Linked DNA regions of Drosophila melanogaster. The protein of the gene in region 1 interacts with the protein of each later gene in a pairwise test. Each region holds a gene or a part of one and is shown in the gene's direction. Other genes may lie near its edges.

Region 1 (6,210 bases):
CCATCCCACTGAGCCCCGGCCAGAGAGTAACTTATTTCCTTCCTAGTTTTTGTCGCTCAAAGCCATTAGGGAGTTTTAGCGAAGATTGGCAAAACAGTTGCCACCTTTCAGCGACTCAACGGTTGCTTCCCACAACTCCAAAACTCCAATTACCATGGCTGTGGAGCACTTTGAACTTTAATTTATCTGCTGGGTCGCCGATCTGGTGGCCGGTGGCGCCTCCCGCAGCGACACCAATGCGTATACGTAACGTATTAATTATGCGACCCAAGAGCTCACTTAAAAACAGCAACTGGCACTTTGGAGTCGTACGTTAATTAGCCAAATTAATCACAGACCCCAACGAAATGGGGCCAATCTTGTTGGCATCAATTCGAAGCATTACAAAATGAAAGTTGCGATGAGAACCAATCTCAATTAGAATTCAAATGAGATTTAAACAAGCCACCAGAGACAAATTCCACTGGCAACATGTGGTGCTTGGTTGCATGTTCGGACCAAGAGGCGTAGCAACAAGTTTTTAATGGAAAACCCATTTGTTGCCCCTTAACAACAAATGAACATGCCATTTGTGCATTAAGTGCCGGCCAAGGTGTCAAATGCGACAGTCAGTCGGTCGGTCAGTCCCTTTCGTTTTCAACGGCACTCGGGGGCAGGAAGTTTTGTGATTTAAATTTCCGCTTTTTTCGCAATTGATGTGACAACTATGTGGCTTGGCATGCTTGTTGGTTATAAATTATAATTATTAGTTTTATACTCACACATTAAATTGGTACGATCTACACGGCAGACACTGCTTCCAATAGTATATCATTATAAATGACTATTAGGCGTATAGTTACCATGTCTTACGAATCGGCTTTGATAATGCAATTTAGGATTAGTTCTTATACAAATAAATATACAAATCATAGTCTAAATTATTAAAAAAAAATTTTTTTGTCAGACTCTTAAAAACTTGTAGATTTCTTATATTCAAATTTGTTTTAAAAAAAATGTCCAAGCTACCTTACAACTAATCGAGATTTTCTTAATATAAAATGTAAAAAAAATTTTAGGGAAATGTATTTTGTTGTCCAAGCAGCCTAGTTATCTGACTTATAAAACCAGTTTAAAAGACACTGGAGAATACTGATATATGTATAAGACCTTTTTGGTAAAGTGGTCTTTGTCTTTGCTTAAAGTTATTTACATCTTCTTAAAGCACAAAGATGTAAAATTTTGTTAAAAAGACAAAATTATATGAGCACGTTTTCTGTAAGACTTTATTACAAATCTACAGGACAAACAAAGGCTTAAATATAATTTTGTAGTTTTTCACATTGTATTATGTGCAGAACACTAATAACCTGGATTGTACAAATAATAAAAACTGTTATTATAAATATATTATAATTAATTAATAACAGTGAACGATAAGTTTTCAAGCAATGCCCACTGTGGCAGTGCTGCGAAGCGCCGACTTAACAGCTGTTGCTGCAAAAGTATCCCAAAATGTACTAACGCTTGAAGCAACAGCGTATAGAAAACATGCCCGAGTAAGTTTTCGTTGTTTTTTATTGTTGTTGTGTTTGATTTGTTGTTGTGGCAGTCGCGCTTAGAATTAATATTGCCATTTAGTCTAGTTTAAGCCACTCCACAAAGCGGCGGTGCGCGGCGCTCAACGGAAAGCGGGAAGAAACTGGAATTTGTGGTATTGTGGGCGAACCGAGAAGCCACGAATCATACTTACAAAGTGTCTGGATTTTTCGCCAGCGAATCGGAGTTAAATGATCGAATAGCGGGTAAAATCGGACAGCGGACGCACACGATCCGATCCGCAGAGTCAGATTGGAGTGGAGAAGTGAAGCTAGTGCTACCTCAGAATCCCAGATACCAGCAGTCCCAGTCAAAAGATATTTTAAGCCAACATGCTGCCTCGGTTCCGTTCCTTTTACGGCAAACTGATCATCTTCATCCTAGTCGCCCTCTGCTTCATCCTCTACAGCAAGGTGCAGCAGAATGGTTCACCAGAGGAGCCACCTGTAGCGCCACTCGTCCGGGCGGCCGCTCTGCGAGGTCATGGGCGCGAGCGGTTCGAGGCGTATAGCGACAGTGAGAACGAGATAGCCCGACCCGCCACCCAGTCGCCGTACGAACAAATAATCCAACTGGATCTTCAGAAACAGAAGGTGGGACTCGGCGAACAGGGCGTGGCAGTGCATCTTTCCGGTGCCGCCAAGGAACGAGGCGATGAGATCTACAAGAAGATTGCCCTCAACGAGGAGCTAAGCGAGCAGTTGACCTACAACCGGAGTGTCGGTGACCACCGGAATCCCCTGTGCGCCAAACAGCGCTTTGATTCCGACTCCCTGCCCACCGCCAGTGTGGTCATCATCTTCTTCAACGAACCCTACTCCGTGCTGCTGAGGACCGTGCACAGCACTCTGAGCACCTGCAACGAGAAGGCCCTGAAGGAGATTATTCTGGTGGATGACGGTAGCGACAACGTGGAACTGGGCGCCAAGCTGGACTACTATGTTCGCACGCGGATTCCCTCGGGGAAGGTCACCATTCTGCGTCTCAAGAACCGGTGAGTTGAAGCTACAAGGTGTCTGACCTAAAAAAGTCGAGCTGCCGTTACTCTAACTAAGAACAAATGTATCTGAAATAGCTGTTTGCGCCAAAGACTTCAGAAAAAGATGTTCGGTTTTTCCCAATCTAGAATGGCAAAAATACGTGAGCTATATCCGCAAGATAAAAAGGAATTAAAAGGAATTCCAGTAAAATGGCCAAACTATAGAAATCCAATCTTGTTTATGTGATAAAGTTTTCATCCACTCCAGTACTTTAGAAACCCTCAAGAAATTATAGACTTGATTAGTGGCCAATATAGTAGTTATACTTGCTCATTCACTTTCAATGCGACTTTTGGCATATGCAAATACTAAGTGTTAAACTTAAAGCATGCTTTCGTGTTTTTGAGACACAATTCGAAGCATTTATTATATTTATTTATATATTTATTTATATTTATATATATTAAAAATCGAAATCAAGTGTATATACACGTTTCTTAATTATTGTTCATAAGTGCAACAATGCAAAAAAGGTGAAAATTTGACACCTAGATAATTTCCATTATTGCCTATGGGCTAGGAAAAGTTCAGTAATTTGGCTAATCGAAACGCTGACGACTTGGACTCATTTGAATAACTTGTTTGCCATGTCAGACGCGCATGGAGCATCTTCTTTTTGGCCAGAACCGACAAACGCTCAAAAAACCAAAAACTAAAAACCGAAAAACAAAATGAAGAGAAAACCAGTTCGTCAAGTTACGATTATGTGTGTTGGGCTTGACTTTTTGTAACTCCCAGACTCGGTTTCTGCGTGCATTACACTCGTCAGCCCGTGAGCTTTGCAGACTTTCGGATGACTTCACGCGGTGGATGCCATGTAGGTTGGTGTTAATCGTGCTTGGCAGACGATCGAAGGTTTTCGAATGACCCAATAAATTTGTTTTGTTTTGCCCTTCACATAGCATAAAGAAAGTTTTCGCCTGTCTCTTTGCAGATTGGGTTTGATTCGTGCCCGATTGGCCGGAGCGCGAATCGCCACGGGGGATGTGCTCATCTTCCTGGATGCCCATTGCGAGGGTAACATTGGCTGGTGCGAGCCACTCCTGCAGCGCATCAAGGAGTCGCGGACTAGCGTGCTGGTGCCCATTATCGATGTCATCGATGCCAACGACTTTCAGTACAGCACAAATGGCTACAAATCCTTCCAGGTCGGCGGATTCCAGTGGAATGGCCACTTTGACTGGATCAATCTGCCGGAGCGGGAGAAGCAGCGCCAGCGACGCGAATGCAAGCAGGAGCGGGAGATCTGTCCAGCATACAGTCCCACCATGGCCGGCGGACTGTTTGCCATAGATCGTCGCTACTTCTGGGAAGTGGGCAGCTACGACGAACAAATGGACGGTTGGGGTGGTGAGAACCTGGAGATGTCCTTTCGCATCTGGCAGTGCGGCGGCACCATCGAGACTATTCCCTGCTCCCGCGTTGGACACATATTCCGCGACTTCCATCCTTACAAGTAAGCGAAACGAACTATATACTTATAATTTATGATGAAGCTGACCTTCGAAGCGAACTATAGTAACTTTATTGTCATCTGCCATTATCTATTGCTGCATTATAATGAACTCATTTAAATTCTTTATAGATTCCCCAACGATCGCGATACACACGGTATTAATACTGCCCGCATGGCTCTGGTTTGGATGGATGAGTACATCAACATATTTTTCCTCAACCGGCCGGACCTAAAGTTCCACGCGGACATTGGAGATGTCACCCACCGAGTAATGCTGCGCAAAAAGCTCCGCTGCAAGAGCTTCGAGTGGTACCTCAAGAACATCTATCCGGAGAAGTTTGTGCCCACGAAGGACGTGCAGGGATGGGGTAAAGTGCACGCTGTGAATTCGAACATATGTCTGGACGATTTGCTGCAGAACAACGAAAAGCCCTATAACGCCGGCTTGTACCCATGCGGCAAGGTGTTGCAGAAGTCGCAGCTATTCTCCTTCACCAACACAAATGTCCTGCGCAACGAGCTAAGCTGTGCAACCGTGCAGCACAGCGAGTCCCCACCGTACCGGGTCGTGATGGTGCCCTGCATGGAGAATGATGAGTTCAACGAGCAGTGGCGATACGAGCACCAGCACATCATTCACAGCAACACGGGCATGTGCCTCGATCATCAGGGACTCAAAAGCCTGGACGACGCCCAGGTGGCGCCTTGCGATCCCCACAGCGAATCCCAACGATGGACCATTGAACACTGAGGAGATAGGGTGTAGCGGGGGAATGGGATGGGGACCAAAGCAACTGAGAGATACTGACTAACGCCGACTGAACGGAACTCGAATTCAAATTAGAACAACCCTTTGTAAATACCTAAATCGAATCCTAGAATTATATATTTTGTGTACACAAATCGTGTATATTAAGAAGAAACGGGGTAGCTAGTGCAAATCAAATCGAAAGGAATCAAATCAAAATAAGAAACCAGCAAATCAAACGCAAACGAGTCATTTGGAAAGCTAATAACAATTAACTGTGTGTTGTGTACTTTGTGTGTATAAATATAAATAGAGCAAGTTGTAAGAATAGAGTCGAACCATCCTATGTAAATGATATAGTCGCCATGTGATCGTGTAAGGATGTAAGGCAGGGTGTGGAACGATTGCATTCCATGGCCAGGGATTCAACAAGGAGCTCTCCTGCGTGAGAGCATCCAGCAATAACCAACTATGTAAACTGTAAACTAAAAGTGTTGTAAGCATTTATCTACATAACCATTTTGCCATTTGTTTTCATGAATAAAAAAAAACTTCCGACTGGAGGATGTACATCTTCAAACGAACCATTAGTAGCCTCTGCCTTGGGTCGAAGGTGTTGGGCCAACAAAATGTAACCAGTTAGTAGCAGTCAAGGCCGAGTTCAGCGTTAATATCGCAGTGGCCGCTTGTTGACCCAGCAGCTCTACTGGTCCACATTTACCCCCCAGCTGTGAAATTAAAGCCAACTCCATTAAAAAATGTCCATTGCATGTTTGTATATTTGTATTTATAGATATAAGTACATATTTCATATTCTCTTTTATTTTGTTTTGCTTTGTTGAAGTTGTTCAAATTTGCTGATTACGCTTGTGTTTTTTGTTTAATTTCTCTGGCGTGTTGGCATTAAAATACTTAAATTGGAGTAAAACAATTGTAAATTACCAGAATTATCTTTACTCTTTCCGCTGCTGACAACTATATTCTGCACTCTAGTCTATTCTTTTATGTTCTGCATTTGCAACTACTAGTGTGGAGTGAACTAAACTGACATATCCGTACTTACAAACCGAACGAACCGAACCAAATTCATCAACAATGGTTTTTTTGCTTGGTGCGTCTGTTTGTGTACTATGATAAAGCAGGTCTAGCATATGGTTTAGTTTATTCATTAACTCGTGACTGAACTCTTGGATAGTTTATTTAACGGCTGATGGAGTCGAGCTATAATTGTGGTGTAATAACATTTATTCGTTGACCGTGCTAAAAGCTCTAAGAGTGCGCAAACTTACAAGTAAACTCTTTCCGAAGGCTGCCTTCTGATCCTATATCCCATATAGTTAATATGTGTGTGCCTAACATTCCGTTACGCTAGAGGCTAGATGCTAGAG
Region 2 (4,000 bases), on another chromosome or scaffold:
CCTCCGTCGTCGTCCGGCAGTGCATTTTACTTTCGCAGCGAGTGCTAGCAAACAAACGCTTTTCGGGAGGAGCTGGAACGGATGCCCCACGAGGAGCCCTGCTATTGACCCAATGGATTATGCAGGCGGACCTCTGAACTCCAGAAACCGGCAACAAATTACTATTGCACGAGCAGCAGCAAGTTGAACAACAGTTGTGCCGAAAGTACAGGAGTCATTACATAAAATGTATTCTTGAGCTTTAAGCTTTAAATGTCCTTTGTTGGGACTAAACGATTGAAACTGTTTTTAACGTAAATAGGATTTTGTCATGTGTCTAAAAATGTATTAGATTTTCTATATAAATATGTTGCTTAAAAGAAAGTGTTGAAATACAAAAAAAAAAAAAAAAAAAAAAAAAAACCAATAATTCAGTCAACTAAATGCTTCTTGTAAGAGATATCTTCATCGATGAAGAATTTAGCAGTATGGGTATATTAAAATCTCAAGGGGAAATAAGGAAGAAAACCCGCTCTATTATTATATATGCCATATATGTATGTAAAAACCCATGGCGGTTCTTATAGGAAGGCTTGATTGTGTCTGCCGTTGTGGGGATGTCTATGATGCCTCTACTTGGATGACGCATAGTGGGGTGAATTTTCAGATGCCACTGAACCTTTGGCCAGACGAGCAGTTATTGGAAAACCTGATTCATTTCCACGGCTAGATATATTGCAGCCAAGCTGTCTGAAGGGTTTTCTTAACCACTTTAGTTTTTCGCTCACCTTCAGCTGCGTTGCGTTTTATCAAACATTTGTTGATCCGTTTGTTGTTGTTCCCTGTCGTTCGTTGAGCAATAATAGAATAGTGACTAATAGTTTAGTTTTCCAAGTTTCGTTGATTGCGCGACTTATCCACCCTTGTTATTATATATACACAATTGGTTATATAGCAAAAGGAGCACACTTTTCACTATTTATTGCCCGATTTTTTGGTTTCTTTTCTAGGCCGACGCGATTTGAACTGCTCTCACTATTTTTTTCAAATACTTGTTTACTCATATGCCGATTCCGTGGGGCTGGGGTCAACTGGTTGGAGCGCCCGTTTGTGAACCAGGTGCACGTATTTAGGCACTTTTAGCAACTCTCTTTTCCCATGGCAAACATAAATAAAACACAGCGCTCGACCAAAATAGAAACCTAGAAAACCAGGGCTGCAATCGGCCGCAGCCAAACTAAAGATGTGTACGTGCCAACAGGTCCTCGGCATCGATAGGGCTATCGGGGAGCATTCCGTAACTTTGCATCGATAGTTTTGGAGTAAATTGATAAATCACATTCAAAAATAATATAAACCACTTTTCGTCACATATATTTTGAATTATAAGTTTTAGTTTGGTATGTTCTTGTTTTTGAATATCGCGGTAATTGTAAATGAGTAAAGGTTTTTTTTTAATTCTTGTTGATATATTACCATTACCACTACTACAAAAATTAAATAATCAAACGTATATTTTCAAAGCCTTTAAATAATACATAGTCAAGACAAAGACACTAGAATTCTAGGGTCTTTGGTCAAGATGTCCGCACTGCATTTTCAAGTTAATGCTTGGCGCTAGTCACGGTTTTTGACCTGTGCATCTCTATCACGGCATTTCGGGGCTAGTGTTGTCAAACGCCGTGACTCATTTTACCGATTTCACACGTGTTTCAGTGAGCGCACATTTCAGTTCTTTGCGAAATTTTCACAGCTAAAATGGCCGAAGTTGCTGAAACCCCGAGTGTGGAAGCCCAGGAAGAGGTAGCACAGCCCGCCGAGGCGCAGGTGCTGGAGGCGAAGAACGGCGACGCCAAGAAGGACCCGGCTCCCGCAGCAGAGGAAGCCGCTGGCGGCTTCACCAAACAGGAGCGCGCCATAATCCGGCAGGTAGAGTACTACTTCGGCGATGCCAATCTGAATCGGGACAAGTTTCTGCGCGAGCAGATCGGCAAGAACGAGGACGGCTGGGTGCCCCTGTCGGTGCTCGTTACCTTCAAGAGATTGGCCTCCCTGTCCACGGACTTATCTGAGATCGTGGCTGCCCTGAACAAATCCGAGGAGGGCCTCGTGGAGATTAGCGAAGACAAACTTAGCCTGCGTCGCCATCCGGAGCGTCCTATTCCAGAGCACAACGAAGAGCGGCGCAAGGAGATCCAGGAGCGGACCGCATACGCCAAGGGCTTCCCCCTAGATTCGCAGATTAGCGAACTGCTCGACTTTGCTGCCAACTACGACAAAGTGGTCAACCTGACCATGCGCAAGCACTATGACAAGCCCACCAAGTCGTACAAGTTCAAGGGCAGCATCTTCCTTACTTTCGAGACCAAGGACCAGGCAAAGGCCTTCCTCGAACAGGAGAAGATCGTTTATAAGGAGCGCGAGCTGCTGCGTAAATGGCAGGTGGACTACCTTAAGGAGAAGCAGGAGGAATACGCCCAGAAGAACGAGAAGCGCAAAAACAAAAAGGAGGCCAAGCCTGAGCCTGCCTTCGAGCTGCCCAAGAACGCCATTGTTGTCTTCGAGGGCGCTCCGGAGACATCTAGCCGCGAGGAAATTCGCGAAGCCTTCGAGAAGATCAAGGACTTCGAGGTGGCCTACATTGAGTTCGCCAAGGGCGAAACCAAGGGCTCTGTGCGGCTGACGGAGGCCGATGCGGCCGAAAAGTACATTGCCAAGGTGGAGGAAGGCAAGGTAAGAATCAGAATTGGGATTATAACTTTTCCCTTATCAGCTAATCCGTAATTGTACTTGCCTATCCACAGCTCAAGTTCAAAGATGAGGTCTCTCTGTCGCTGCGAAAGGCCACCGAGGAGGAGGAGAAGGAGTTCATCGACAAGGCCATAGAATTCATGAAGAAGCGACGCGATTTCACCAGGAACAAGGGCAAGCGCTTCAATCGCAAGCGCCACGGCGGAAACGACCACAAACATGGCGGTGGTAAGAAGGCGCGTGGGGATTAACTCATCCACCTATATTCCGCCACCCGAGTCTTTTGATCGCAGTAGACCAAGCTTAATTGTTACTCGGTAGATCTAGTTGACCTAGCTTTAAGGCCTTACATATATAATACTTGCTTTCTCTTAGTTTTCAAAATAATCGTTGCAGGTACAGAATATTCTTCAAATATGCATGTATAGTCTGTTACCTAAATAACGAGGTGGGCTCTAATTTATTTTACATAGAAGACTATGAATCCAATTGTTTCCCTCAGCAGAAAGCTACAAATAAAGACCAGTGTGTAAAACCTGAATCTTGTTCTTTAGTTTGTATTTTCATTTATTATTGCTGTTTTGTGTATTTTCGATCTCTTTGTGTGTTCGTGTGTGTATTAAATTATTGTAAATGAATTTAACTTAAAAGCATAAAATTTAATATTACAAGTACTTAAATGCATTTACAATTACAGATAAATCAAACAAAATTGTTCAAAAACGGTTAGAAAAACTATAATAGCAGCTACAATTAGGTAATATAATGTTCGTTAGGGGTTTGCTTTGCATCATCAGCTTGTACAATTATATAGACGTCGCTTACAACTTAGACGCACTTAGGGAGAATTAAAACTAAGCGAATTAACTAAATAGTTTGGGCTGCATAGCAACGCCGACTAAAATTAAATTAGGCTATCAAGTAGTTCTTGCGTTATACATTGACATTGTAGTTAATAGGGGAACAAAACGAAAACTTCACAACGTAAACAAAGATCTGCGCAAGCACAAAAGTTTCACAACATTTTCGGATAACTATTTCAACAATCGAAATTTTTTTTTTCTGAACTGGGAATCGTATTGCGAATATCGATGTATTCTGTATGATCAATACGTCGCTCGTGCTGAAACGAATGCAGGAGCAGGGTACAAGTAAGGTCGAATATATGTGCATTTGATATATGCGGATACAAGAGTTATGATTACATGTACTTAATCAACTTTTACGCATACTTTGAACAGTTATAAACAACGGCATCGCGTTGCGATCT

Evidence for each region.
Region 2: the proteins of Pgant1 (region 1) and La interact in a two-hybrid assay, tested with the Drosophila melanogaster proteins (one large-scale study listed by BioGRID).

What each region holds. Positions count from the first base shown.
Region 1 is NT_033778.4:15,510,194-15,516,403, forward strand, and holds Pgant1 (polypeptide N-Acetylgalactosaminyltransferase 1), read left to right. Parts: upstream 1-1,516; 5' UTR 1,517-1,538; intron 1,539-1,618; exon of another isoform or gene 1,619-1,620; 5' UTR 1,621-1,910; coding exon 1,911-2,572; intron 2,573-3,373; exon of another isoform or gene 3,374-3,428; coding exon of another isoform or gene 3,429-3,439; intron 3,440-3,552; coding exon 3,553-4,074; intron 4,075-4,203; coding exon 4,204-4,825; 3' UTR 4,826-5,404; downstream 5,405-6,210. UniProt on the Drosophila melanogaster protein: Catalyzes the initial reaction in O-linked oligosaccharide biosynthesis, the transfer of an N-acetyl-D-galactosamine residue to a serine or threonine residue on the protein receptor.
Region 2 is NT_033779.5:20,347,662-20,351,661, reverse strand, and holds La (La autoantigen-like), read left to right. Parts: upstream 1-1,649; 5' UTR 1,650-1,737; coding exon 1,738-2,712; intron 2,713-2,783; coding exon 2,784-2,981; 3' UTR 2,982-3,269; downstream 3,270-4,000. UniProt on the Drosophila melanogaster protein: May be involved in transcription termination by RNA polymerase III. Binds RNA and DNA. Binds to precursors of RNA polymerase III transcripts. May play a specialized role during fly development.